7 linked regions of the Cricetulus griseus genome follow. The protein of the gene in region 1 interacts with the protein of each later gene in a pairwise test. Links are inferred from orthologs where the notes say so. Each region holds a gene or a part of one and is shown in the gene's direction. Other genes may lie near its edges. The genes, in order: Bend7, Psmf1, Ppp1r37, L3mbtl2, Eaf2, probable global transcription activator SNF2L2 and Nif3l1.

Evidence for each region.
Region 2: the proteins of Bend7 (region 1) and Psmf1 interact in a two-hybrid assay, tested with the Homo sapiens proteins (2 studies listed by BioGRID and IntAct). The two-hybrid records come from large-scale screens. The link is inferred for Cricetulus griseus from reciprocal best matches to the Homo sapiens genes BEND7 and PSMF1.
Region 3: the proteins of Bend7 (region 1) and Ppp1r37 interact in binary tests that used the Homo sapiens proteins (3 or more experiments, as listed by UniProt). The two-hybrid records come from large-scale screens. The link is inferred for Cricetulus griseus from reciprocal best matches to the Homo sapiens genes BEND7 and PPP1R37.
Region 4: the proteins of Bend7 (region 1) and L3mbtl2 interact in binary tests that used the Homo sapiens proteins (3 or more experiments, as listed by UniProt). The two-hybrid records come from large-scale screens. The link is inferred for Cricetulus griseus from reciprocal best matches to the Homo sapiens genes BEND7 and L3MBTL2.
Region 5: the proteins of Bend7 (region 1) and Eaf2 interact in binary tests that used the Homo sapiens proteins (3 or more experiments, as listed by UniProt). The two-hybrid records come from large-scale screens. The link is inferred for Cricetulus griseus from reciprocal best matches to the Homo sapiens genes BEND7 and EAF2.
Region 6: the proteins of Bend7 (region 1) and probable global transcription activator SNF2L2 interact in binary tests that used the Homo sapiens proteins (3 or more experiments, as listed by UniProt). The two-hybrid records come from large-scale screens. The link is inferred for Cricetulus griseus from reciprocal best matches to the Homo sapiens genes BEND7 and SMARCA2.
Region 7: the proteins of Bend7 (region 1) and Nif3l1 interact in binary tests that used the Homo sapiens proteins (3 or more experiments, as listed by UniProt). The two-hybrid records come from large-scale screens. The link is inferred for Cricetulus griseus from reciprocal best matches to the Homo sapiens genes BEND7 and NIF3L1.

Annotation. Positions count from the first base shown.
Region 1 is NC_048596.1:221,953,029-221,956,992, forward strand, and holds part of Bend7 (BEN domain-containing protein 7), read left to right. Parts: intron 1-2,134; coding exon 2,135-2,257; intron 2,258-3,964.
Region 2 is NC_048599.1:28,279,395-28,283,848, forward strand, and holds the start of Psmf1 (proteasome inhibitor PI31 subunit), read left to right. Parts: upstream 1-1,603; 5' UTR 1,604-1,750; coding exon 1,751-1,879; intron 1,880-4,454. UniProt on the Homo sapiens protein: Plays an important role in control of proteasome function. Inhibits the hydrolysis of protein and peptide substrates by the 20S proteasome. Also inhibits the activation of the proteasome by the proteasome regulatory proteins PA700 and PA28.
Region 3 is NC_048602.1:27,823,751-27,827,530, forward strand, and holds the end of Ppp1r37 (protein phosphatase 1 regulatory subunit 37), read left to right. Parts: intron 1-819; coding exon 820-961; intron 962-1,112; coding exon 1,113-1,279; intron 1,280-1,390; coding exon 1,391-2,156; intron 2,157-2,402; coding exon 2,403-2,485; 3' UTR 2,486-2,489; intron 2,490-2,627; 3' UTR 2,628-3,134; downstream 3,135-3,780. UniProt on the Homo sapiens protein: Inhibits phosphatase activity of protein phosphatase 1 (PP1) complexes.
Region 4 is NC_048595.1:378,814,347-378,818,310, forward strand, and holds part of L3mbtl2 (lethal(3)malignant brain tumor-like protein 2), read left to right. Parts: intron 1-372; coding exon 373-496; intron 497-1,385; coding exon of another isoform or gene 1,386-1,464; coding exon 1,465-1,544; intron 1,545-3,964. UniProt on the Homo sapiens protein: Putative Polycomb group (PcG) protein. PcG proteins maintain the transcriptionally repressive state of genes, probably via a modification of chromatin, rendering it heritably changed in its expressibility.
Region 5 is NC_048597.1:53,161,146-53,165,754, forward strand, and holds the start of Eaf2 (ELL-associated factor 2), read left to right. Parts: upstream 1-1,642; 5' UTR 1,643-1,766; coding exon 1,767-1,872; intron 1,873-4,609. UniProt on the Homo sapiens protein: Acts as a transcriptional transactivator of TCEA1 elongation activity. Acts as a transcriptional transactivator of ELL and ELL2 elongation activities. Potent inducer of apoptosis in prostatic and non-prostatic cell lines.
Region 6 is NC_048596.1:34,604,462-34,608,425, reverse strand, and holds part of probable global transcription activator SNF2L2, read left to right. Parts: intron 1-1,568; coding exon 1,569-1,674; intron 1,675-2,076; coding exon 2,077-2,178; intron 2,179-3,964. UniProt on the Homo sapiens protein: ATPase involved in transcriptional activation and repression of select genes by chromatin remodeling (alteration of DNA-nucleosome topology).
Region 7 is NC_048595.1:412,847,561-412,850,407, forward strand, and holds the end of Nif3l1 (NIF3-like protein 1), read left to right. Parts: intron 1-1,536; coding exon 1,537-1,721; 3' UTR 1,722-1,959; downstream 1,960-2,847. UniProt on the Homo sapiens protein: May function as a transcriptional corepressor through its interaction with COPS2, negatively regulating the expression of genes involved in neuronal differentiation.

The DNA of each region.
Region 1 (3,964 bases):
CAAATGAGAGTCAAAATAGATCATTTATGTTTCTTGTTTGCATCATTTCAGTAAAAATATATTATGCAAGGGGCTGAAGAGAGTTCAAGTTGTTGAAGTGTCTGTGCTGTAGTGTGGAGACCTGAGTTCAAAGCCCCAGAACCCACATAAAATCCAGGTGTGGCTTCTGTAATCCCAGCACCAGCAGGATGAAGTCAGAAAGAACATATAAGCCCATCAATCTAACCAGATCAACGCGCTCCAAGTTCATTGAGAGACCCTGTCTAAAAACAGTGGAGAGACAAGGAAGACAGCTGACACCAACCTCTGCCCTCTACACACAGCAACAGCAACATGCACACCCAAATGATTCTCTCTCTCTCTCTCTCTCTCTCTCTCTCTCTCTCTCTCTCTCTCTCTCTCTCTGTCTGTCTCTCTCTCTGTCTCTCTCTCTGTCTCTCTCTCTGTCTCTCTGTCTCTCTCTCTCTCTCTCTCTATATATATATATATATATTCACACTCATCATTCACATAAAGAAATATAAATGTATTATACAGTTGACCCTTGAATAACATATGTTAGAATTATGCACTTCTGCCTGTAGGAAACTGTTTTGTAGAGATTTGCAACAGTTTGTGAAAACTCTCAGACAGACCTCACAGCCTAGAAATAGTGAAAAATTATGGGAAAGTTAGACATGTCATCAGTATATAAAATATGTAGTTTATAAAATCAGTTTATAAAATATATAAAATAATATCACTTATTATTTGCCATTATAATTTACTACCAAAATACATACATTATTTTTTTTAAAAATCAAGATTTATTACAACTTGGGCACACAAATACTATAGACTATCATGATGTCATTTGCAGTTTGGAGAAATTTTAACAAATGTAATATTTAGCTACCTCTTGTTCCCACTGTGGGGAATTAGAAGTGAAGTGGGATCTTGGCCTTCACTTGAGACTATGCCCTGCCCACCTCCCAGAGCTGCTCAAGGATCACTAGGATACAGATATGATTGCCATGTGTTTCTTTGGGATAGCTAGTGGTTCTAAAGCTGAGTCACCTCCCTTTGCTACTATTTGAATGTTAATGCTTGCGCTGTCCATATGTAACCTTTCATTCTTTTGTGGTTTTGCTGTGGTAAACTTCACTATCTACAAATAATGAGTATTATAGGAATTGGTTGTATCTCCTGCCTGTCAGAAACTTAGGAAGTAGCTGCCCCTTAGTCTGCCCCGATTCATGGTAGCTAACCTGGAGCTAGAGAGGTCCAGCTGCCAGAGCTTTTTTCCAAATGTGCTGTTTCTGTTCATGGACAGTGGGGAAATTCTAGTGCATATTTAGGGGAAACAGAGGAGAGTAGCTTTGATAAGGAAAGTACTTCAATGTAAACGTGAGAAGGAGACTGGTGATGAGGATTCTAAGATGCAGGGTGGAGAAAAGAGGGATAATCCTTCATGAAACACCTCTGAACCTTCAGGCAAAGTGCTGTGCCCTCCCACCCTGCCTCCAGCTTCTCCCCACCCCAGCCAGAGCGTATTGCAGAAGTTCCTGCGTAGCCACAGCTCTTCATTGTTGAAATGGCACACTTGCTAGTAAAACTAGTTTTTATTAGGCTGGTTTGGTTCTTAATATGAACTTTGTAGCACACATGCTACGAAGGTGGTTTTGTAGGGCTGATGCAGAGCCGGGACTGTTTTTGGTTTTGTTTTCACTGTTTGAGAAAGTAGCATGAGGGCTGAGGGGGATGGCTCAGCCATTAAAGCCTCACAACCAAAAATATAAGAGAAAATAGCATGAGTGTTTATCATGACTTGTCAGAGTATCGTTATCTGTGATGAACCGGCCTCACAGTAGACAGGCCTGCCTTGGCAGTGCGTTGTGTGCCTGCGTTCACACAGACCATGCCACCTGTGTGTAACGCAGCATGCATGCACCTTACAAGCAGAAGGCTGGGTAATTAGATAAAGTCAGACCCCAAAATTCAGGTTGTGAAAATTACTAGGTACATTTTCTTCTGGCACAGTTTGAAGATAATTGTACATACTTCAAAACCCTGTCAAGATACATTTTTTTTCCTTTTCTTTATAATTATTTTTTGCATGCTTTGGGAGTATATCATTCTTTTCTTTCTTGCTTAGGAGAACTTCCAGGGGCGAACTCATCAGCTGGATCCAACTGCTGTACTTGTAGCTGCCAGTCAACATTGCAGGCCATTCTTCAGGAGCTCAAGACCATGAGGAAGCTAATGCAGTTTCAAGCAGGTACAAAGACCAGCCCTGCAAAGCACCCTTTGATTGGGAATGTGTGCCTGACATCTTCGGTTGTGTGCATTGTCCTTTTGTCCCACACTCCTTCCCTCCCTGCTGTCTTACTGTGCCTTTTCAGGTATTCGTTTTCTTGACTTTTTTCAACAACCTATGATTTTGTCTTATTTTATTTTCTTAGCAAATCAAACAGATTTTGTTATTGCCCCTAATACTGCTGTCAGGGCTTATGCACATGAATTCAGTGTACTTCATCCCATGATCTCCTGGTACTTCACAAATGCCAGTTAATTAAATTTTGGAATATCTTATGTGAAAGAGCCCTTCAGGAAATGCAAGCCTCCCTGGTGAAGATGCTCGAGGACGTGAGCAGATGAGAAGTGGTGAGCCACAGGCTCTGCCTGTGACTTCTCTTGCATCGGGATGTAGTGATCAGGCATACCTTGCATCTGGCCACTCCCTTCACTTGACTCTCTCTGTTCTCTTTGTCACTGGGTAAGGTGAACAATGGAACCGGGCATGTAGAGCTGGGAATTGAATTCCCAGTTTCTCACCCTCTAGCCGGACGACTTCTAGGCCTCCCAGTTCTCATCTGTGAATGGAGCATTAATGTCTGATTCGTGGGGCTGTTTTTAAATGTGAAGGAGATAGCTATAGAAAGTGAGATTTTTGGAAGGCAGAATGCACACCTCAGTGTTCTTTTAAAAGCCCACAGCACTTTGTAGAAGTTTGGAAGTCGAGGTCCAGTGGCTTATTTTTCCGATTTTCACTATTAGTAAGAAAATTTATTCTTTATTTTTGTTACATATGCAAAAAATAACAAATCTCTCTCTCCTGACGGATAAACTGCTGGTAGATGTTAGTATGGGAAAGCGGGAAAGCAGCCTAGCCCTGTGGTGATGGCCCTTCTGACTCTGATCACGGTTGTGTTCATGAAGTCAACACTCAGAAAATGCACTTGGTGCCAGCCACAGCATTCTAGCAAAATCTTCACAGTCCATGGTATGGTTTTGATATAAAAAGCTTACTTCTTAGACATATCAGTCACCCACAATCAAATTTTTAGAGAAACCAAAGGGATTTCTGGAAACTGTATTTTTAAGGACTGAATTTGGTCTTATCCCAAGGCAAAAATAAGCATTTTGTCAAGTCAGTAAGTACTTGGCTCACCTTATTCCACCATGGCACTCTGTGTCCTTATCAGCCTGGCAGAGGTCGCCATCTCCTATGTAAGGACCTCGGAATGAAAGGTTACTTTACTCTGTAGATGCTGTTCACGGAGAGGGAATCTGTTAGTACTTAAGAAAATATGCATATGAAATTGTAATGATTTATTTTGTTACTTAAGCTCCTTACCACTGAAATGGCAAACTACAAATTGCACCCCTGTAAATCCTTAACTGGAGTCTTTTTAGAATCTATTAAGTAAATGCCATTTTGTCACCATGTTTTCTCTTCTGAACCTTTGCAGATTAGTGAAGCAAACGGCTCCAGAGCTATGGAGAACAAAAAGGATAAACCGAATAAATGACTCTCCTTTAATTTTCTTTTAAACTTAAAAATTCATGTTGTGCAGGCAGATTTACTTGGGGCTTATTGCCCATGAGACATAGATTTAAATTCTGTTTTGAAAGGTTCACCTTTATTTTACAGGAAGATGAGGACTTAGATCAAGCAGTTAAGATCTGAGTGCAGGAAAACTGG
Region 2 (4,454 bases), on another chromosome or scaffold:
AACAAGGGATAGTAGTAAGAGAACAGGCTGCTCATGAAGAGGCTGCATTACAAAAAGGGGGGCACGTAAAAGCATTAATAAAGCTGACCAAAAGGCCTTTTATTATCATCACGAACCAACAATTCTAACATACTTCAGTGATAAAATTCTCCTCCCTACTGGTGCTGATAGCTTTCTCTGCTGCATGCCTGCCCCCACTCCCCAGCATGCCGCCGACTCTGAAAGCACAGTGTGGAGGGTAGTTAAAGGTGAGCCCGAGATGAGAGAGACAGTGTTGATTCTCCAGCCACACAGGGAGAGCTGAATTTCACACCTAGGTGCCTTTGCACATCCTGTTCCCTTTCACAGGAACGTTTTTCTTTATTCTTCCACCAGATTTCTATACTGTCATCCATCTCTTTCTTCAAGAAACCCTTCCTGACCCTCACCTGAATCACAGGATTCCTGTGGGCTTGCACAGGCCTCTGAGCACTTCCAAAATGGCAGGTTTCACCCTGGACTAATTTTTGTCTGTTCTTTTTTAACCACTAAACAGCTCCATCAGGGTAAGACTATGGCTTGTTCACCTAGACATGAGAGCTGAAGGAAGTCAAAGTTATTACAGTCAGGAGAACAGGAGATGAAGGGACACTTGGAAGAGACATTAGAAAGGCATAGGGCCTGTGGCAGACCCAGAGTGGACTTCTCTTCTCCTTTGTGGAGGGAGCCCTGGGTGGTTTGGACCTAAGGAACATGGTCCTCCTTGTGTTTCAGCAGAATCCCTCTGGTTGCAGGGTGAAATCGTGTAGCAGAAAAGGTATCCAGGTGAAAAAAGACAATGGCTTGGGTCATGGTATCAACCAAAATGGGGAAAGTGAATTTATTTGACTACAAAAAAAGTACTGGACTTCAAAAAACTTGGGAGACATAATAGGTGGTAAAAAAAAAAAATCTTGAGGTAGGTAGGAGAACAACTGATAATATTTGGCTATTCGCTCATGGGCGCCAACAACTCTCTGGTCTGTTTTGTCACTTGCAAAGTTAGGAGAGGTAATAGAATAGACCCATGAATTTGTCGCGAGGAGACGTAAAGGCTTTAGCACAGGATTTAGTGTGAAATCTATATGTTCAAATGCTATCCTAGAAGCCAAGTTGCTAGCCCCTGGGCGCATCTCTATCACTTACTGGCTGACAGTGACACAGTTTCCAAATCTACAAAGTGGAACAGTACTTTCATTAATACCAACCGCATAAAATTTAATCTGGGAGAGTTCAATAAATGCATTCAAGCTCAGCACGTAGAATAAGGTGCTATCAGGCAGGCACTGCAGGCATGCTAATAAATTACTATGAAAACATCTACACCAGACTGCTTAAGTACTTCCCACCCTAGTGCACTCCACTTTGCAGATGAGAAGCCTACTGTAGTTGGCAGCAAGGTGGCCTCTCTCCAAGAATAAACTGCCTGCCTTCGAGTGGTCGGTGTGCTGTAGACGGAAGCAGAATCGGGCTGTGAGAAGTCGCGGCCCCGCTCGTGTGCTCCCTAACGGAACCTTCCAGCGCGGCGCCGGCGGTTCCAGCCCGGAGCGCCTACAAAGCTAAGAGCTATTTCCGGCACAGGTTTCTGCGTTTCCGCGCAGGTGCGGACAGAGCCCAAAGCGAAAGGAACACCCCTGGTGTTGCCGCTTTCGCCGTCCCGCTCCTCTGAGGCGGCGCGGCTTGCTCTTTGCCAGCTCCTTTCCTTCCTTCCCCACAGAAGCCGCGAGCGTCCATGGCGGGCCTGGAGGTTCTCTTCGCGTCGGCCGCGCCTGCCATCAGCTGCCCGCAGGACGCGCTCGTCTGCTTCCTGCACTGGGAAGTGGTGACAAACGGCTACTATGTCTTGGGCACAGGCGACCAGGTACGCTGCGGAGCAGGCCTGGGTGGAGGGGAGCCCGCAACCAGAGGCCCAGAGGGCTCGCCTGACCCTGCCGAGCCAGGGCCCGAGGTGACGCCGCACTTTGGCGCGCCTGGAGCTGGTGCCAGCAGCTGGCACAGCGTGTGTGTAACCGAAAGGCGTCCCGGCGCTTTCACTCAGGCCGAGTCGTGTGGATCTGACGCCGAGACAGACTAGTAGCTTCCTTAAAGTCCTCATCCACCCGACTTCCCCAAAGCATCTTTATCACACACAGTCATGGCGTGGACTACTCAATGCTACACACCCCATTCAAGTCACACACACACACACACACACACACACACACACACACACACCACACACACAATCACACACACCATTCAAGTCACACGCACACCAAGCACAGCTGTGGTGGTGAGCTTTGACCTCCTCAGCCATATTCTAGAACCCCACACACACACACACACATCACACACACAATCACACACACCATTCAAGTCACACGCACACCAAGCACAGCTGTGGTGGTGAGCTTTGATCTACTCAGCCATATTCTAGAACCCCCTCCCCCCCACACACATACACACACTTAGCACGATGGACCAGCCAGAGCCCACTCACTACTCATCTACAGCACACACACGCCTTCTTTGTGAGTGTTCTTCCCTTAGCTGTCTCCACCAGAATCCAATCTATTCTCCTATCTCCAGATTCTGCCTCTTAACTGATGGGGCCTTGTTGACATCCCCATAGAGGTCCAGTATGCATCACTGATTCTCTGCCCTAGCCTTCTCCTTTTCTCTGCCCCTTCCTTATGACCCTCATGTCTACCTGTGTAGCAGGTTTTTGGGTAAACTGGCCCTGGTCCCCTTACTGCCTTTCATTTCCTATCTGCTCCACCAAAGGAACTCCCAGCCACAATCCCACATACACGTACTTGGAGACTCAAGGACTCCAGGCTTGCCCCTCTATGTTGCTGTCTTGGCACTCAAAATTCAGACCAGTCCTGGAAAGAAGGTCCCCTCACCCCCTGGAACTTACAGAGAGATTTTAAATCTTCCTCTCATTTCTAACTACGGTTCCCAAAACCCTACAATCTTTAGCTTCTTAGATACATTAGAGTCTTGGTATGTTTTCTCTCCTCACACAACTTTATGGACTCCTCCTTTGACACACTTTCAACATTCTGAGCACTTAACCAGGCATAGCCCTGCTGGAGTTCCATTCCTGTCTGTCCTATAAAACTAGGAACTCAGACCACTCTACCCTGTTTACACTTTACCCTCATTAGAAGGAAGCAATACACAAAATTTTTGTTGATTTCTTTCCCCGTTTCCTCCCAAACCTCAAGTAGCTCCCCAGCACTAAAAGATGCAGGATCCAGACATCTTCTGGAAGGACAAGGAGCCTGGGAGATGGGGTTTTGGAAAGTATTGCCTGCTGACCCTGTCTGCCTCCGTACTAAATCATGCATGCCCTTCGAGGGGACAGTGTTTGGGTTCGGACTAGAGTGCTGCCATTTGTTTCTTGTAGCCCCATCTCTTAAAGTCCTCTCAGGGCTCAGGTTGCCCTTGGCCACTCACTGCCAACGAGTGTTCTCTCATTCAGAATAGAAGCCAAAAGAATTTGAGAGGCATCTTTCCTGTTAGTTTATCTAGTAGAGAATTTTTATTTTCCAGTTTAGAGCCAGCAAATCAATAATGCTTGCCAGACATAGAGTGTATTTATTTGTATTGCCTGTCTAGCCGCCTCCTGCCATCCACCCTTCCAGGGGGTGATAACAGGGAAACAAGTATTTAAAGTATGTACTGGACTGTGTAATACCGACTCAGCAGTTAAACAGAATGCTATATTGTCCACTTTCTCTTTGGTTTTGTGTCTGCCACTGTAGAGCAGTGTGTGTAATATTTGATTTGAAGACCAACAGATCCCTTGACTTAAACAAAAATCTGACATTGGTTTGGTCTCTCTATTGGTCAGGGCTACTCTCCATAAGAGCTCCGTAGCTATGTCAGATGGCTTAAGTGGCACGGCATGGAGATGGCCATAGAGACAGAATTGGGCTTTCTGTTATGGGAGTCTGAAGATTATGAAGAAAGGGAAAAGGACCTGTTTGTGTGTGTGGTGTGTTGGTTGGTTGGTTACATTCTAGCCCATTGGCCCTGGGGTGAGCTCAGTAACCATTAAAGGATATTTCTAGCCTCAGAATTTCACCTAGGATGGCAGCTACCCTTACCTTCTTAGGACTGTCTGGAGAAAATCTCCAGCCTGCCCTGCACTGCCCTTCAATAGGTCTCAGCTCCTCTCAGGTCTTAGAGTTATCAACTGAGGGAGTTAAATTATACAAGCATGCTTTGGTCACTTGCCAACCATGGCCTTCTGGGACACTTGATATTATTTTATATCAAGGTGCAGAGGGCGGCCACTTGATGTCTTGGGCCACTTCTGTTTTCTGGGGAACACCGGTCTCACCATGGTGAGATGTCAGCTTTACATGACCCCAGCGATTCTGTCTTGCTCTGGAATGAAAGTGTTGAGGTGGAGAGCAGAACAAGTTGTCTGTATGCCAAGAGAGCAT
Region 3 (3,780 bases), on another chromosome or scaffold:
TTTTAAAATTTTTATTAAATTTGTGTGTGTGTGTGTGTGTGTGTGTGTGTGTGTGTGTGTGTGTGTGTGTAGGTCAGAGGACAGCTTGCAGGAGTCACTTTTCTCCTTCTACCATATATAAATGCCCCAGTATAGAACTTGGATCCTTCAGCCATCTAGTCAGCCCTAGACCCTGTTTCTTTCATTATTTACCTTTCTTTTCTTTTCTTTTCTTTTTTCTTTTCAAGACTGAGTATCTCTGTGTCACTCTGACTGTCCTGGACTTGCTTTGTAGACCAGCTGGCTGGCCTAGAACTCAGAGATGCCACACTATGCGGGGCTGGGCCCTTTTCTTTAATTGACTTTTTGTAACAGACTACGTAGGACAGTGATTTGCACAAACTATGTTGGCCTAAAAAAGTTAATATTTCTGGAAGCAGTCAGTAAGTTTTTAGTCTTTTTATTATCATGTAATATATAAAGTAATTGGAGCAGGCATAAATACTCCCAGGGAAAGGAGGGGGCACTTTAGTGCCCAGTGCCCAGGTACCCTCCCACAAGAAGGCTGTCTTTGGGGTCTTTAAAGCCATTCGGAGACAGGCTCTGTGAGGGCAGGGAGTCAGGCTGTGAATATGGGGCCGCGTGGACTCTGGCGGGGAAGAGGGCCTAGTGAGGGCTGGGGGAGACCCAGCATGGGAAGGACTTGAGGGTCCCAGACCTGCAGTAGGCTTGTGCCCTGAGAGGCAAAGCAAGAGGAGGACACGAGCCTTGGCTGCTGCTTGTGCCCCTTTCCTGACTCCACCATTGGCTTTCCCTCCTCACCTACCCTGTCCCTTCCAGCCGCACACACAGAGTCTGGAGACCCTGAACCTGGGCCACAACCCCATTGGGAATGAGGGCATGCGCAACCTCAAGAATGGGCTCATCAGCAACCGGAGCGTGCTGCGCCTCGGCCTGGCCTCAACCAAGCTCACGTGCGAGGGTAGGATACGGGCCAGGGCCAGGGCCAGGGCCAGGGCCAGGGCCAGGGCCAGGGCCAGGGCCAGGGCGCAGGGGCCAGCGGGGCTCGGCAGGGCGGCCGGCCAGCGGCCAGGCGTGGGGCCCGTGGCCAGCCCCTGCGGTCCCCCTCCCAGGCGCGGTGGCCGTGGCAGAGTTCATCGCCGAGAGCCCCCGCCTCCTGAGACTGGACCTCCGGGAGAACGAGATCAAGACGGGCGGGCTCATGGCACTGTCCTTGGCCCTCAAGGTGAACCACTCCCTGCTTCGCCTGGACCTGGACCGCGAGCCCAAGAAGGAGGCGGTGAGGGCGCTTGCTTTTGTGCCAGTGCTGTCTTGGGCCGGGCAGGCGGGAGGGTGAGCGGGTCAGGGTAGGGCGGCGGCCGACAGAGCCCTAGCAGGCCGGGTCCCACAGGTGAAGACCTTCATTGAGACGCAGAAAGCCCTGCTGGCTGAGATCCAGAACGGCTGCAAGCGCAACTTCGTGCTGGTGCGCGAGCGGGAGAAGCAGCCGCTGCAGCCGGCGGCTTCCATGCCCGAGATCACCATCACCGCACCCCGGCCCCTGGACGAGCCTGGGGACCTGCCAGCCGCGGGGGCACAGAATGGGGCCCCTGGACCTGGACCTGGCCCCGACTCGGACTCGGACTCGGACTCGGACCCGGACCCGGACCGGGAGGAGCAGGAGGAGGAGGAGGAGGAGGCGGAGGACCAGGAGCAACAGAACCAGCAGAGGGATGAGGGCGGCGCTGACCGCAGCCCCTCGGCCCCCTGCCCTGCCCTCATCCCCTCCACGGACTCCCTAGGCCCTGGGGACAGGAGCCCCCCAGGCAGCCCCTCCGCCCCCGCTGAGCAGCGCATTTCTGTCTCCAGCCCGGGCCGAGGCCACAAGGTGTTCGTGGTGACCCGGGTGGAGAGTCCACCCGAGCGGCCAGAGCCCCCTGTGCCCCCCACCTTTGTCTCCTGTCCTCCCCGCTCTCCTCCCTCCCCACCCGCCTCTCGGCCGCCTCAGACCATGGACATCCCGGACCCAGAGTCATCCGAGGCTCAGCTGCAGCCGCAGCCACCTCAGGCAGGGCAGCCGCTGCCCAACGGCCTGAAGCCCGAGTTCGCCCTGGCGCTGCCCCCAGAGCCACCCCCGGGGCCGGAGGCTAAGGGGGACAGCTGCAGCCTGGAGCACGGTGAGAAGTGTGGGCAGGCGGGGGGGGGGGGACCGCGGCAGGGAAGGAAGCCCGTGGGGCCCGTGGGAGGGCTCGAGCTTGGGCTCGGTCTTGAGAATGGCGCAAAGGGGTAGAGAGGAAGAAGAGTGTGGCTGTGATCCCGTCTCTGGCCCCCCCGAAGCTCTCCGGGGGGGGGACGACTGTGTGGTGCGGAGGGGCAGGGCGGTGCCCTCCTGCCTCTGAGGAGCTGCCACCCTCCGCCCGCAGCACTGCACCGCCCCCAGGGGGCCAGCAAGCTGGAGGAACTGCTTTTAGAGGCCAGTCAGGAGGCCCCGCGGGACACACTGTGACACTGTAAGTAGGTGCCGCCCGCCCGCCCGTCCGTCCGTCCGTCCGTCCGTCCTTCCGTGGGATCCGAGCTGGGGAGGAGGCAGGGCTGCCCTCTGCCCACGCATGCCCGCTGACCGTCCCCACCTTTGTTCCCTCCCCCAGTTCTTTCTTTCGGCCGGTCTGTGATGAGCTGAAGCCATCCAGGGATCTGCTGACCCCCGCCTAGTCCCCCAGGAGGAACACTACAGCCACAAGGCGCTCGCACGGGGCTGGGGGCCGGGGGCGGCTTCCTGGACTTGAAAGCAAAGCACTATTTATGTGTCTGCCGCTCTCGCTCTCTAGGTTGGGGCCGGGTGGACAGGAGGAGGACGGACGGGAGGAGCTCTCCAGGGTCACTGGTCCTGGGGAGGGGTAGGAGGCAGGACAGATTAGGGTGGCCCCCTGGCCCCTTTCAGGACCTGGCCGGTGAGCTGAGCGTGGTGGTCGTTTGCCAGCCCCTGTGGGGTGGGGCCAGCGGAAAGGAAGAGAGCTTCTTTCTTAAGTGCAATAAAATCTATCAGGGAGCTGGGCACGCAGCAGTGGGGTTCTGGGACCCTGCTGCCCGGGCCGCTGAGGCTGCGCCCTGGCAGGCACTACAACAGTGGGCAGCGGGTGGGGGATAGGTGTGGGGAGGGGGGCTGGGGCCACTCCTGTCGGTGCCGCTGTCACACCTTTTCTAATAAACGGGAGCTGGGGTCACCGTCTGCCTCTGCTTCGCGCCGGGCCCAAGGGGGAGAGGTGAGCGCCCCCAAAGGAAACCCAGAAGGCTGGGCAGACCTCCCCATGCCCCCCACCTTCTTACCCATCCACACCTCGAGCAACACACTAAGGCCACTCTCTGTCACGTGCAGCCGGCCTGGAGGTTCCCGTGGCTGAGATAGCAGGTCCAGCCTGCCCTCTCCTGGCCCCATCTGTGGAGGGAGGGGTGGGCACAGGGCCTGTGAGCCTCCTGCTCTGCCATTAGCATGTGCCTGGCTTGTGGACTACCAGAGAAATACCGGGTCTGTGACTCAGGCTGAAAAGATCACAAGTTCCAGGCCACTCTGGGTAACTTAGACTGAAAGTGAAGACTTAGACAGTGGTGAGCCTTGGCTTCAATCTCAGGCACCGCAAGAAATGAAAACTAAGGAGAGCCATCCATCTGGACTGATACATAGAGAAACTGTCTGGAGAAACCAAACCAACCAAAAACCTGAGAGGCCTCTGCACCCCACCATTGTATCTGTCAGAGATTTTTTAAAGTTACTTTTTAGGCACAGGATGTGTGTGTACAGAT
Region 4 (3,964 bases), on another chromosome or scaffold:
TTTCTCTGTGGCTGTCCTGGGACTCTTTCTGTAGACCAGGCTGGCCTTGAACTCACAGAGATCTGCCTGCTTCTGTTGGGATTAAATGCATGTGCCGCCATCACCTGGTTCATCAGCAGTTTTACAAAAGAAACTCCAGCTCAAAGAAAGTTAACTAGCTGGACCAAGACCAGGAGCTTGGCCTCAGCAGTCCCAACCAAGCTCTGCTTTCCCACTTGGTATGGTGGTGCATGCCTAGAATCTCAGAAATCAGGAGGCAGAGGCATGAGAGCTGCAAATTCCAGGCCATGATATCTCAAAGAAACAAAGCAAAACAGAAACTGATTCTGATGCATAACTGCCAGCCTGTATGATTTTCTTCTTGCCCTCCAGGGAAAGCCGCCCACCAAGAAAGCCAAAGTGCTGCACAAGGCAGCCTGGTCTGCCAAAATTGGAGCCTTCCTTCATGCCCAGGGGACAGGACAGCTAGCAGATGGGACACCCACAGGACAAGATGGTGAGACAGAACCCTGGGGTAGGGACCATGGCAGAAAACAGCCTTGCCTGGGAGAAAGGTGGACTGCTGTAAAGTTGAGGCTCTAGGCCTACCATGAGCTGTTGCCATCTGACTTTTGTGGAAATGATCTTAGGCATTTCTTTCAGTGGCCCTCAATTCCCTGGTTCTGAGAGCACCCAGAAACCAAATGCTAGCTGCTTCATTTCACTTAGCATCTGTCTATATGGCTCTGACTCCCAGGGTATGTGGAGCAGGTGGAAGGGGCCTCTCAGTTTTCTAAGCATAGCAATTGATGAGCAAATTACACAAAGCCTCCAAGAGGCTGAGACTGCACTGTGCAGCCGGGTGGGCAGTCTGCTGCTCTTCTTGCCCATTAGATGTGCTGGAGGAGGAATTTAATCCCATGAGATCTGACTTAATCACCTCTTTCTGTGGAGCATGAAGAGTGAAGTTTCTCTTTGGATGCCCCTCTGCTCTGCAGTTCTGATTGTTGTAATTCAATTAAAAAACTGCATGAGAGAGAAAGACACCATGAAACAGGGTTTAAGCAGAGGGTTTGTTTGTTTGTTTGTTTTCTAATTAGGGAAATGGATCATAAAAAGGGGAAAGGGGAAGTGGGGAGACCAGCCTTGGAAAACAGTAGCAGCAGGAGAGAAGACAAATGAAAGAGGGGGAGAGGGGAACAGACAGAGAGAGGGAGAAAAAGAAAGAGAGAAGGATGGGAGGTGGGCAGGGCCCTTTTAAAAGGGAACATAGTGAATATGCCCAGGTGGTGCTCTTAGTGGCTGCAGCTGAGGACATATCCTGTCAGCTTCAAAGACACGCCAGTACAGATGCCTGAATACTAATGCTGATGGCCATTGGTGGTAATAAAGGAACTTGTTCCTAGAGCCCAATGGGGCCTCCAGGTTCTTGTTCTAACATGGCTGCTGTAGATACTGCTTCAGCTTTACCCATGTGCTCTGCAGCTCTGGTCTTAGGGTTCGACTGGGGGAAGTTCCTGAAGGACCACAGTTACAAGGCTGCTCCTGTCAGCTGCTTTAAACACGTGAGTACTCTGGAAATAAGGGAGGAACAACCAGGGATAGCCAGGGGACATCTCAGGCTGCCTGCCACATTGCTACCCACACACTTCAGTTGAGCTGCGCCAGGCTGGACAGCATCTTTGAGAACAGTGGCCATTCCCCAGAAATTCTTTGTTTTCAGGGCTGGAGAGATGACAAGAGTACTGGCTGCTCCACTAGGAGTCCTGAATTCAATTCCTAGTACCCACATAGCAGCTCACAACCATCTATAACTGTATTCCCATGGGATACAATATACTTATACAATATATGCCAGGTATAGTGGCTCTACAAGAGCTAGTTCCAGGACAGCCTCCAAGGCCACAGAGAAACCCTGTCTTGAAAAATCAAAAGAGAGAGAGAGAGAGAGAGAGAGAGAGAGAGAGAGAGAGAGAGAGAAGGAAAGAAAGAAAGAAAGAAAGAAGGCATAAATACTGATCCTGCTTTCCGAAGTGTCTACATACTATTTACACAATTGGATTTTGGTTTGAGTTCAGTGGGTGTTCTTTTTTTCATTTTTCATTTTCATTTTTGATATTCCCCCCCCCCATTAAAAACCAGGCCAGACACTGGTGTGGCTTGTGTCTGGCCACAGCACTTTAATCCCAGCACTCTTGAACTCTGTGACTTCAAGACCAGCTTGGTTTACAGAGCAAGTTCCAGGACAGTCAAGGCTACATAGAAAAACCCTGTCTTGAAAAATCGAAAAACAAACAAACAAACAAACAAACAAACAAAAAAGAGGGCATCAGGTCCTCCCAAAGTAGAATTCTTTGCATGGTTGTGAGCTGCCATGTAGGTGCTGGGAGTCAAGCCCTGGTCCTCTTAATCAGTGCTCTTAATCATTAAATCATTTCTCCAGCCCTAATTTGTTTTGTTTTGGCAGGATTTCATATATCTGAGGCTGGCCTCTAACTTCCTATGTAGCTGAGGATAGCTTTGAACTTCTGGTCCTCCTGCCTCTACCTCCCAACTGCTAGAATCACAAGCATGTGCCACCATGCCCAGCCTTCTGCCACTAGGGATTGCACACACTTTATATCATCAAGCTGCACCCTTAGCCCTTGTCTGAGGACCTTTCTAATACCAAACATCCCATTGGGGGACTACCTTCTGGTTCTTCCTGAAGAATAAAGGGTCCTGTTTGGCTGATTTGGATGAGCTTGTGGCCAAGAATGTGATAGTGCTCAGCAGCTGTTCCTTGTGCTAGCCTGGAATGATACAGCGGGTCTTTTGTCTTTTTATTATTTATTTGTTTGTTTGTTTCCAGACAGGGTTTCTCTGTGTAGCTCTGGCTATCCTGGAACTCACTTTGTAGACCAGGCTGGCACAACACTTGCCTGTGCGTCCTAGTCCTGGGATTACAGGCATGTGCCAGTACTACCAGTCTTGTCTTTCATTTTTGTGTCTTTTGTTTTAATTCAAGACAGGGTCTCACATTATAGCTCAGACTAGCCTGAGGGCAGTCTTCCTGCCTTTGTCTCAAAAGTGCTGGCACATAGGTATCAGCCATCAAGACCAGTTTTTTTGTTTTTGAGGCAGGGTTTCTCTATAGCTTTGGAGGCTGTCCTGGAACATCGCTCTATAAACCAGGCTGGCCTTGGACTCATAGAGATCTGTCTGCCTCTGCCTCCTGAGTGCTGGGATTAAAGGCATTCCTCAAGCCTGGTTTCTTTAGGCTTTCAGTCCTGTCTCCTAATGTCAGAGAGGCCTCCTGAGGCTTTCTTTTGAGCAGAGTGAGCCAGCTGCCTGGCCTTCCTGGATTGTCCACTTGTCTTCAACTATGACAGGTTGGTCCTAAGTCCTACAATGTCCTTCTCTGAGTTGCTAATGTGTCTTTCTTGCAGGGGAAGAAAGCATTCTCTTTTTCCCTACAGTTGTATTGTAAGGAAATTAGGTCACATTTAACACAATATAAAAGAAGCCCTGTAAAGAGTTTGCCTGTGGAGCCTGGCAGTGGTGGGACACACACACGCCTTTAATCCCAGCACTTGGGGGCAGAGCAGGTGAATCTTTGTGAGTTTGAAGCCAGCCTGGTCTAAAGATCCAGGATAGCTAGGGCTGTTACACATAGAAACCTTGTCTCGGAAAAAAAGACAAAACAAAACAAAACAGAAAAAACTTGCCTGTGTACCTGGACCACTGCATGCTGCCCCAGGCCTCTGTGAGCCTGTCTGCCTTGGGAGATGGATTATTGCCTGTGTAGCTTAGGCTGAATCTGATAGTGAAAGATCCAAAGGGGATCAACTTACCATTGGCAGCAAGTCTAGGGTTAGGCATTGGTAAGGCAGCCGGAAGCTGGGAAGGGCTGGGATGAGTGTGTGTGTCCTGCCGGCTCTGTGTGAAAGCTCAGGTTGAATGATGTTAAAGAGGGTAGTCTCTGTGCTAGACACTGCTGTACAGC
Region 5 (4,609 bases), on another chromosome or scaffold:
AGCATTGTAGAAGATACAAAACTTTCCTATAGAATGCATGTTAATTATCTTACTCTTTCCAGTGTCTGCATTATCCTATCTGTTCTTTGTGAGAGTGCATTGAAATATACTTAAACATCTCATTCACTGGATGTCATTTAGGTTGCAAATTATTATATACAATACTGCAATAGAAATCCATGTGCAAGTAAGTATGTATGCACTCATTTGGCCCACAGAACAAATGCCCCTTGATATTAGACGGCCAAAAGTCAACGATCTTAGCTTCTCAAAACAAATATTTCCATCTGTAAGCAAAGCTGCTATTCCTAGGCCCTGCAATTCAAAATTTAGAAGGTAGCCACCAATGATGTCTTAAAATACGAAAGTATAGCTGAATCCTAAATAAGCATGCCCTATAATTGTACTTGCTTGCATGTATTTCATTTAACCATCTCAACAATTCTAAAGGAGGGGCATTGTTTTCTGCATAGCTATTATCATTACTTCCCGAATTCTAATGATTCTAATGATAAACGCGTTTGTTTGAATTGCTTGCACAAAGTCACAGCGTTACAATGAAACTGGAGTACAAGCTCAGAGATTCTGGCTCCAAAACCTTCGTGTCTAATTATCATATAAAACAGTCTCCATGCACCTTTAGAGGGTAGAAGGCAAACCTAATCACCTGTCCACCTGGAAAAATACATTGACATATCTGTTTAAGGTAGAAGTGGAGGAATGATACAATTAGCCTGAAAAAAAAAAAAAATCATCTGCTGGAGCAACTCATTGCATGGTTTTACTGAATTCCCTTCTAACATTCATAATGAATGCTTTCTCTCACTTTACAATGATGCTGTGAAGTGTCAAGAGGAAAGGGAAAAAAAAGACAATTATTGATCAATTCATACGTTTACTCTGTTGCTAGGCCGATCCTTGAGGAATCAAGAGTCCCAGGCCGTGCCCTTCACTGCCTCCAGGAATCACTAGGATGGAAACAAATGCCAGAAACCTAATGCAGTCAGTTACCCCTAGTCCTAAGCTTCATCCCCCCGCCCCCCGCGCCCCGCGCCCCGCGCCCCGCCCCGAAATGCTCCCTCCTCAGACCCTAACCCTGGCGGGAAAAGGCCTGTGGTGTTTAAAGGTTAAAAAACGGCCCTCAAGGGAACTGCATCACTTCCAGTGGCTTCCAGTCTGGTCAGGGCACCGACGGGGTAGCGGCTGGGGTTCTAGAACCGGCCGGGAGCTACTAGGCCTCGGGAAGCCACAGGCCTGGGCCCAGCCGCCGCCCCTCCTCAGGCGTCCGTTTCCAAACCTGCGGGCCAGGCGCGGAGGAGGCCCAGCTCCGGTCACCAGGCCCCGCCAGCCAGTTCACTAGGTCGAAGAGCCTGGCGTCCTAGCTTCTCCGCCCCCTGGATGCCTCAGCCATCCCAGGCGCCACCTCAGCTCTGTTACCTCATCTTCGCCTCGCCTTCGTCCACCTCAGGCCCAGACCCGCAGCGCGCACCTCAGCACGGCTGCGTTCGCCGAGCTGCGTGCGTCGCGACGCGGGAAGGGGGCTAAGGGCGGGAGAGGGGGGCTAGGGGCGGGGCGGGACCGCAGGGGATGGGCGTGGCAGCTGTCTCCAGACAGCCAATCAGGACGCGGGGCCTCCAAGGGGCGGGCGCACGCGCCGGAGATCCCAGCCCGCAGGCAGGGACCGAGCTCAGGCTCGCGGCCGGTGCAGCTGCTTGGAAGGCTGCGACAGCGGGTGGCGAAGGCCAAGTGGGTGGCAGAGAAAGAGAATGAATGGACCAGCGGGACTCGCGTACCTGGACCGTCGCGAGCGGGTTCTCAAATTAGGCGAAAGCTTCGAGAAGCAGCCGCGCTGTGCGTTCCACACCGTGCGCTGTGAGTGCGGGCTGCTCGGGGTACCCGGGAGGAACCTCCTGGGTGCTGTGTGGGTGGGTGACATGGAAGCAGACGCTTCGGAATTCTGTAATTCTGTCCCCGCGGCCCTTTGCGCACCGGGAAACCCGATGGCAGCATGATCCACTACACGGTTCCCAGTCTCGGCGCGGACACCTGGTGTCCTGCAGGTGTAGGAGAACCCTGGGAGGATTTAAGAGGGGCTGACAGGCAGGAGAGGACGTTTTGTGGGGAAGATCTGTAGGGGTGGCTGTGGAGACTAGCATGACAAGTGGATGGTGCAGCGAGGAAAGGTGACAGACAGATGGAACAAAGGACCGAATGCGGGGCAAAAGGGATGTTTAGAGGCCACAGGGACATTTCTTCCCCATTTTCACTTGTCCTCTGATGACGGTTCTCGTTTTAGTTTGTGGGGAGAGACTGTCAGCTATCTCAATAGTTTGTATCTTTTTTTAGATCTCAAATTTCATGGTCAGCTAAGTACTGATTATCAAAAACTGAAAGGTGAGGTTTTAATAAGTTATCTTTAATATTGTTGGAAAATTGGTTACAATGAGCCTTTTGTTTTAGTAATTACATGATATAGATGCCAGTACGAAAAAATATAGCATACTTTTGTATGTAAAATTTCTTTTTTGCATAATAGGCCTCAGAGTTCTAGAGCATAAAGGAAACATCGTTGAGTCGTGACCTCCTGTGTGTGTGTGTGTGTGTGTGTGTCTGTGTGAGTGTGTGTGACAAATTGTGAAGAGTTTTTTTTCACATCTTTTTTTTTTTCCAGCCCAGGTGTTCTTTACTGTCTCATTGTTTTACCTTCCTCAATCATTCTGTCCTTTTTCTTATAAAGTTTATATTCTGAAAACACCCTATTTAAACTCAGCCCTCAAAGTTTAAGTTGTAAACAATCTAACTATAATAACTCAGAGGAGATGTAGGAAGAAACAATGGTTTTAATTTTCAAATGATATGTTTACACTTTATTAAAAGGTTTTATTATGCATGTTTTGGTGGAGTAAACTGGAGAGATTTACCAGCAGAGCGCCAATGATGTCCCTTGTTTATTTTGCCCTGATGACAATTCAGACGACTTCCCAAAATGAAACAGGAGCAAGTGCTGTGCAGGTCCTTGTGTTCTCTCTCTCTCTCTCTCTCTCTCTCTCTCTCTCTCTCTCTCTCTCTCTCTCTCTCCCTCCCTCCCTCTTCAGTTTCATTTTCCAAAAGTAACATACTCTTCTTATCTGATCTCTCAATGCCCTTTCCCCAAGTAGCATGTCCTTTCCTCTTCCTTCTCAGATATGCAGTAATATTTTATTTTTCAAGCTACAAGGTTTAAAATAACAAAAAAGTTATATAGAGATAGATTATATTATTTTAAATTTTACATGTGTATATGTGGGCCTGAGTGTATATATGTACATCGTATGTATGCAGGTGCCCTCAGAGGCCACAAGAAAGCCTCACATCACTTGTAACTGGACTTACCAGTGATTATCAGTCACCTGATGTCAGTGCTCAAAATGATTCAAGTTTTCTGCAAGAACAAGTACTTTTAACTGCTGAGCCATCTCTCCAGTCCCTCAATGTGTCTATTTTTATAACGTAGGTATGCATTCTCTTCTTACAGATACAAATCCAAAATTAAATGAATGAAATACAGCTTCTGAAAAGTGCCTCAAAGGTGCTTCAAAGACTTTCATTTATAGCTTCTTTGATTGATTGATTGATTGACTGATTGATTGATTGCAGCATTAGAACTCAAACTCAGGGCCTGGCACATACTAGTCAAGTGATCTACCTGAGCTACATCCCCACCTTTACAAAAGTTCTTAAAATGATGAAATCATATTTTCTAGAGTCACATAACCCAGCCACAAGAAAGACAACAAACAAGAATATGCAAAAAGACAATGATAATAATAATTACAGAGTAAACAAACTTAGATTACACACTTAGTCTTGCAGAAGGCATTAAACAGGTTTTCAGTCTTTGTTTTTTTGTCTCTCTCTCTCCTTATTGAATTAAGTATAATATCACACAGATTCTTTTCATGTTTATTTAAGTAAAACCTGGTATTATACTTAAGAAGAGGTTCATTTCCAGGGTAACTCCGAGTCTTAATAATTCAGTGACAAGTGGAGACTACACAATAGAGAATTTTGCATTTGTGCAGGCCAGATGGGCCAAATTTATACCAAACACACAAGCTAGTGTCATTTGAGAGAAAGTATTATTTTGTCTTATCTACAGCATAAATTTTGCTTGTCTTTTATACTAAGGCTTTGGATAAGCTTGTCTGTGAACCCTGACCTTCACTAACTGCATATATAATGTGACTTTGAGAACATTTTCAAAGCTTTCAGCCTCAGTGTTCATATGTGAAAATGGTAATAGCTACCTTTTAGATTTTTTCTGAGGGATTATGGTAGCATTAAAAAAACTAGCAGAGAATTTAGAACATGGTAAAGAATAAATAATAGTCACTATTAGTTTTATGAGTTATGTTCATAGGTGCATGAGGAGTATTAATGCATGTAACTTATGTAAGTGTAGTAAAGGTAACATTTAGCAACAAAGATACATTACATAGAAGAGTTTGAATAATACATTAGAACTAATTTTGGATTTGGGCTAGCACTAGCTTTATAATTTATATTTATATAAGGGCTAATAATCAGTAAATTTCCTGTTTTCAGTAACGCCATTTATTATTGTCACAAA
Region 6 (3,964 bases), about 190 Mb from region 1:
TGGTGCCATTCAGATATTCTTTTTAAAACAGGTTAAATGTGAGTTATGAGTTTATACATTCCAAAATAGCAGGAAAATATGGACCTATGTTGGAATTGATTGTACATAAGAAACTGTGCTATAGCCTGCTGGGAATGGAAGGGTAGAGAACACCTTGGTTCTCACCGCAGTAATCCAAGAATCTAATTTCCTAGCCTTCAGTAGTCTTGTTTTTAAACCTCTTGTGTTTGTCCCCAATGTTGTATTCATGAGGCCCCTCCATGCATTAAAAATAAAACAAAACAGTGACCCTCTATGGCCGAAAAACTTGCCCATCCTTTGACTATCGGCGGTTAATTTATGCAGGCCCCTTTGCACTTCAGCTTTTCCCCCACTGGTTGCTAGGCAACCGCTTGAGTTACTGCGCATGCCTCTTTTATGATAACTGTCATTATGATTATTTTTTAATTATACAACTGGGACTGTGGATTAAAACAGCATATTGTCACTCATGCCTTGCCACTGCCTCTGAGCGTTCCCGAACACTGGTGCAGTCACCTTCCAAAATTTACATGCCAGGGGTTTATGATTATCTTTTGATGTTTCTGGCGTCACAAAGGAACCAGAGATGCCATCAAAAGGGCAGCGAGATTTTTTGTGGAAAATGACTAGACCATCTATCATAAGCTGTTATTGATTTAGAGAGGCCAAATCAGGCACTGGGGTCTTGAACCTCAATTATCCTTCTTTGTGGCTTTAACTGTGCCTGCTCCCAGCCTTAAGTGATGTGAAAACCGTGTTGCTCTGCAGCCTGCTCTTCCGAGTGACAGAACGCTAAAGCATTTCTCTCCTAAACCTGCTTTCAATAAACCCACCATTCTTTGGGGGGAGGGTACAGCACAGACTCTATAAACATGCAGCGTGCACGCATTAGCAATTGTCTCTCTCTCTCTCTCTCTCTCTCTCTCTCTCTCTCTCTCTCTCTCTCTCTCTCGCCTGAATTGCCAAATTGCTCCACACACATAAGTGCATTTAGGGGACGTGAAGGGGCTCCTCGGGCAAGGGATAATAGAAGGGACTCATGACTTGTAGAACACTGTAAAAGGAATGAGACAGGAAGGGCTGGAGAGAGCATACAACAGCTTCACATTTGCATTGCTCTGTATATTTTAACATATTTTCTAAATACACAGTGAGTTTGAAGACAAAGGAACGTGGGAGTCATGTCTGTGTGCTTTCTTTTAACCAACTCTGTTATTCATTTAAAATGGGACTTGGGGCTCAATAAGTTATTTTAAATATTTCTGTCATGATGAAAAGAGATTACCTCCTGACAGGGGAGTCCACAGAGTCCTTGCCACATCGTGTGCCTGTGACAGAAATGGGGACCTAACTGAGCGTTCATGTGATTTGAAGCCCTCCCAATGGGCATCAGCCTCCAATGCAGTGGTGGGCGTTTCCTCCATGTGCAGAGCCCCCATGCCTGTATCCGTGGGACCTCCTTTGCTTTGTTGACAGTCTCTGAAACGACCCTTTCCCTGAGGAGTGCTTTATCTGCTTTGTTTCTGTTTGTCTCCCCCATCCTGCAGTTCAGGGCGACAGCTCAGTGAAGTCTTCATTCAGTTACCTTCCAGGAAAGAGTTACCAGAATACTATGAATTAATTAGGAAGCCAGTGGATTTCAAAAAGATAAAGGTAGATACTGTGTTCACTGTTATTCTTCGAGTAAACAAAGGAGATGCATGGATGCTCGGGAGTGACGCTAGCTGGGGCTGGGGTCGTGGCCTCCTGGTTGCTAACCACTGACCTACACAAGTGCTTGCCCCAGGAAAGGTGGGGATGGGCTGACCTTGATCCTTTCCATGCATGTTATTTGATCACCGAAAGCTCAGATTATATACATTGCATGTTGTTGAGAACCCGCCTCTCCCTTGTGTGCACCTTCCTCCCCAGCCCTCGGAACACTGGTGGGAGGGTCTCGCAGTCCCACGCACTCAGCAAGGCTGAGTGCTGTGAAGACAAAGGGACATCGGGGCCTTCTTCAACAATAAGGACAGTTACATATTTCTCTTCTGTTTTGTTCAAAATTCCCATCAGGAAAGAATTCGTAATCACAAGTACCGGAGCCTGGGTGACCTGGAGAAAGATGTCATGCTTCTCTGTCACAATGCACAGACATTCAACTTGGAGGGATCCCAGGTATGTGTCAAGTTGTCTGAGAAGTGTCTAACCTGACCCATGCTGAGGTTCTCGGAAGTGGAGCATTTCCGTTTCGTTTCTACTTTTGGAACCATTGCCTCCACCCCAGCAGAGCACTGAAAACCGAAAGGCCTTGTTCTCTACTGTCAGTGTGAATAAAGGGAGGTTTTTTTGTGCGATATCTGGGTGGGCTTCTTCTCACACTTCCTTCAAGGCTCATCTTCCCATTAGAGGAAGAGTTCAAGAAAGCCATTGAAGGTAATGCTAGAAGGCTGGGTACCATCTGTGTACTTACAGAGACTGTATGCAGTGACAGCTTCATTTTTCTAACTTTAACTTTACACGAAGAGTTCAAAGTACAATGATTTAAAACAGAATAGGGGGTGCCTCTAATTGTTACTTTAAAAAAAATTCTTGACATTCCCTTCTCCACAGTCAGGAAGTCATTGTACATAACAGTGAATTTATGAGCATAAGGAGGAGGACATTTCCACTTTAATTACAACTCAATTCTACTTACCTTTGGTGGGAACTGATTTTTTTTTTCCCTATCTATCTTTCTGGCCTGATGCTCCCATATCCAGTAAAAGAGAAGGAGCAGGACAGGTCAAGTTACACAGAGATCCTGCATGTAGCATGTTGTCTAGCAGAGTCCACTTTCACAGCTGGGGATTGACAGTGATGTCTCCACCCATCTCTCCACCTTGGCCTCTCACCTTTCTCCTGTGCATGCTTGTCTCCCCGCAGCCAGCTTGTCCTCACCCTAACTTGTCAGCTCAGATCTCTGGCAGATTTTTTTCCCCCATTCCACAGTGTTATCCTTCTTGTTCCCTGCTTGTCATCACCATTTCCCTCAGGCTGACCTGCCACTTCCTTGACGATGTGGGTCATCTCCATGGCAAAAGAATTTAATCCCAGAGGGCAAAGGCCCATTTATTTATTCATCGCCCTTGAATGGTGGTCAGAAGACAACATAAACTTTACCACCTTAACATTTTTTTTTTCTCTTTTTTGAGACAGGGTTTCTCTGTGTAGCTTTGGAGCCTGTCCTGGAACTCCATCTGGAGACCAAGCTGGCCTCAAATTAACAGAGATCTGCCTGCCTCTGCCTCCCGAGTGCTGGGATTAAAGGCTTGCGCCACCACTCCCTGGCACCTTAACTGTTTTTTAAGGGTGGAGTTCAGTAGTGGTAAGGCTGCTCTCATGGGTGCTTAACAGGTCTCTGGTAGTATTTCATCTCTTAGAAATGACGAAGGCCTAAGCCTTTAGCAGTTCTCCCCTACCCCGGTTCCTATAACCACCTACTTTGTGTGAGTTTGACATGAGTGGGATTGCTTGGTGTCCATCTTTTGGTGACTGGCTTCCTAGGGTTCCTTTGTGTTGTAGAAAGTAACAGGAGGTACTTCCTCCCAAAAGCTGAGTCCTAGTCACTGCATCTGCCATGTTTTCTTTAGTCACTGATCTGTCTACAGATCTTTGAGTTCCCTCTGAATTCTTGGCTACGGTGCCTCTCCGGAACATGGGCATGTGGAGGAGATTTATTTCCTCAAGACTCTGTTTCTACTTATTTTGGGTATATATATCCAGAAGCGATGGTGGTTTTATCTTAATTTTTTGAGGGAAAGGACTATGTTTAGGTAGACTTCCTGTTTCTTTCAGTGGTGTTTCCTCTCAGCAGGGGAGGGTGCACAGTGTATTAGGTGACTTTTGGCTGCAATGAAGCTCGGCAACAGGGAACAACCCTGTAAAGGGTTCCTTTGCCACAGTATTTAAGAGAACCGCTTAA
Region 7 (2,847 bases), on another chromosome or scaffold:
CAAACAACAACAACAACAACAACAAACACTTAAAATTTTTATTTTTATTGGCTTTATGTCTGTAAACACTGATTAAAGTTTAATTTTCTATAAACAAACCAAATTGTATGTAACACATACATAGGCACACACATTATTTCAAAAGTTTCATACGGATTGATCATTTATTCTCTCCTCTCCCACAATGTTTTTGTTTTTAAAAATTCAAAACATATTTGAGTTTTCCCTTTATCTTTTTCACAGTACCTTTTTTTTTCCTTCTTTCTTTTTGGTTGTTCAAGTCAGTGTTTCTCCATATAACACCTCTGGCTGTCCTGGAAGTCTCTCTGTAGACCAGGCTGGCCTCAAACTCAGTGATCTGCCTTTGCCTCCTGAGTGCTGGGATTAAAGGCGTGTTCCACCACTGCCCAGCCACAATAACTAACAAGGCCTTTTTTCTTTGGTAGCTTATTTGTTGACAGGGTCTCCTATAACCCAGAATTGCCTCAAACTATTTAGCTGAGGCTGGCTTTGGACTCCTGATCCTCTTGCCTTGGCTTCCCAAGTTCTAGGACTACATATACGTCATCCTTGGCAGCATTTTGCAATAGTCAAAGAAAAATATTTATGTCCAAAATGCTACAAAACTGGCCATGTGGTGGTAGCGCACGCCTTTGATCCCAGCACTTGGGAGGCAGAGGCAGGCGGATCTCTGTGAGTTCAAGACCCCCTTGGTTTACAAGAACTAGTTCCAGGACAGCCTCCAAAACCACAGAGAAACCCCATCTCAAAAAAACAAACAAACAAAACTGTTTTGTTTTTGTTTTTCAAGACAGAATTTCTCTGTGTACCTTTGTAGACCAGGCTGACCTGGAACTCACAGAGATACACCTGCCTCTGCCTCCCTGTTTTAAATAACACAAGCATAAGAGGAAAATTCTACACTTGGAGTCATGTGACAAGTTATAGTAAAAATGCTGGTCAGGTAGTTCAAGCCAGCCTCCCAAAGCTATAGAGAAGAGCTGTCTCAAAAACAAAACAAAAAAATGCTGGCACATTCAAAATACTATATGATACTATATTCAGGCCATGAAAATAAAGTATAGATGAAATATAAAATGAAATTCATATTTTGGGCTCAAGGGATAAACACACTTGCTTTGCAAACCTAATGACTGGACTTCAATTCCTGCTGCCACAAGGGGAGGATAGAACTGACTTCTGAAAGCTGATTTCTGACCTACACTCCATGTGCGCACACACGCATGAAGCAGCACACCCAACGCCATCGGTCCCATCCCTGTATACTTGCTCCTGAACATGGACATGACTCTGCACCATAAAGTCACATGGGCAGCAAACGCAGGACCTTGTGCACAAGAGGCAAACATTCTGTCTGATCGCTCCATAAACCCTCCCTTGGTTTCCATGCTCAGGAGTAGTGTGGCATTGCATCCATTCCTTCAGAATACAAACCTGGGCTTTCTGCTGCAGTGGTTCAGGGTGCATAGATTCTGTGTCTAATATTTAAGAAGTTGCTCTTTCCTCTTTTGGCAGGTGAAATGTCCCACCATGATGTTCTGGATGCTGCTTCCAAAGGAATAAATGTCATTCTTTGTGAACATAGCAACACTGAACGAGGTTTCCTTTCCGATCTTCAACAAATGCTGGGTGTTCACTTGGAGAATAAGATCAATATTATCCTGTCTGAGACAGACAGGGACCCTCTTCATGTGGTTTAAAATGCACAGGACATCATAGTGACACAAGCTACACCTCATTTGGATTGAAATAGGAAGAGTTAGTGGTGTTGTCGTCCTTCTGCACAAGTTTATTTGAACGACATCATCTTCAGTTCATCGGTCTGTTTCATCAAGTTTTATAGCTCATAAGGAAAAAACCATGTGTAGAGTACAATAAAGACAAATATTCATTATAAATTCTTGGAAAAGGGGATTAAAACTTGTATATAATCAGGCATTTTTTGTTAGGTTGCTTACTTGTGACAAAATCCCACGTAACCCAGAATAGCCTCTACCTCACTATTTAGCTCAGGCTAGCCTTGGGCTTTTTTTTTTTTTTTTTTTTTTTTGGTTTTTCGAGACAGGGTTTCTCTGTGTAGCTTTGGAGCCTCTCCTGGCCCTTGCTTTGCAGACCAGGCTTGCCTCGAATTCACAGAGATCCGCCTTTCTCTGCCTCCCGAGTGCTGGGATTAAAGGCGTGCACCACCAATGCCTGGCCCCTTTGGTTAATCTTAAACATCATTTAAAAACAGATTTGGAGCTGGGTGTGGCAGTGCACAAGTATAATCCCAGCTTATGCTGTCCAAGCTTGCCTAGAACCCTATATCTCAAAATGAAAAAAAAAAAAAAAAAGCAACTGGAGAGATGGCTCAGCAGTTAAACATACTTGCTGCTCTTGCATTGGACCAGAATTCACTTCCCAGCACTAAGCACTAACATGATAGCTCACAACCACCTGTAACTCCAGCTCTAGGGCACCCACCCTCGCAAAGACAAGAAAAACAGCAACAAAAAATGGATTTAGATTTATTTCTAAACAGCATTTTGGAGTGATGAAGTCATTCCATGTGCTTTTAAGTTAGATATCAATTTTTTATTGGGATTTTAAAAAATTCATAGATGATCATTACATCTCAATTTATTCCTATAATTTTGTTTTATGGTGGTGTAGGGATCAAACTGCTCAAGTTGACAGCATGAACCTGGGAGAGCAGGGCCTACAAATGAGGCAGACTAAAGTCTCATAAAATAGCCAACTGTATTCAGAACATCAGACAGTTTATACTCTTGAGTGTTAAGAAGAGTCACCTGAGTGAAGTGTAGATCACATGGACAAATGGCACGT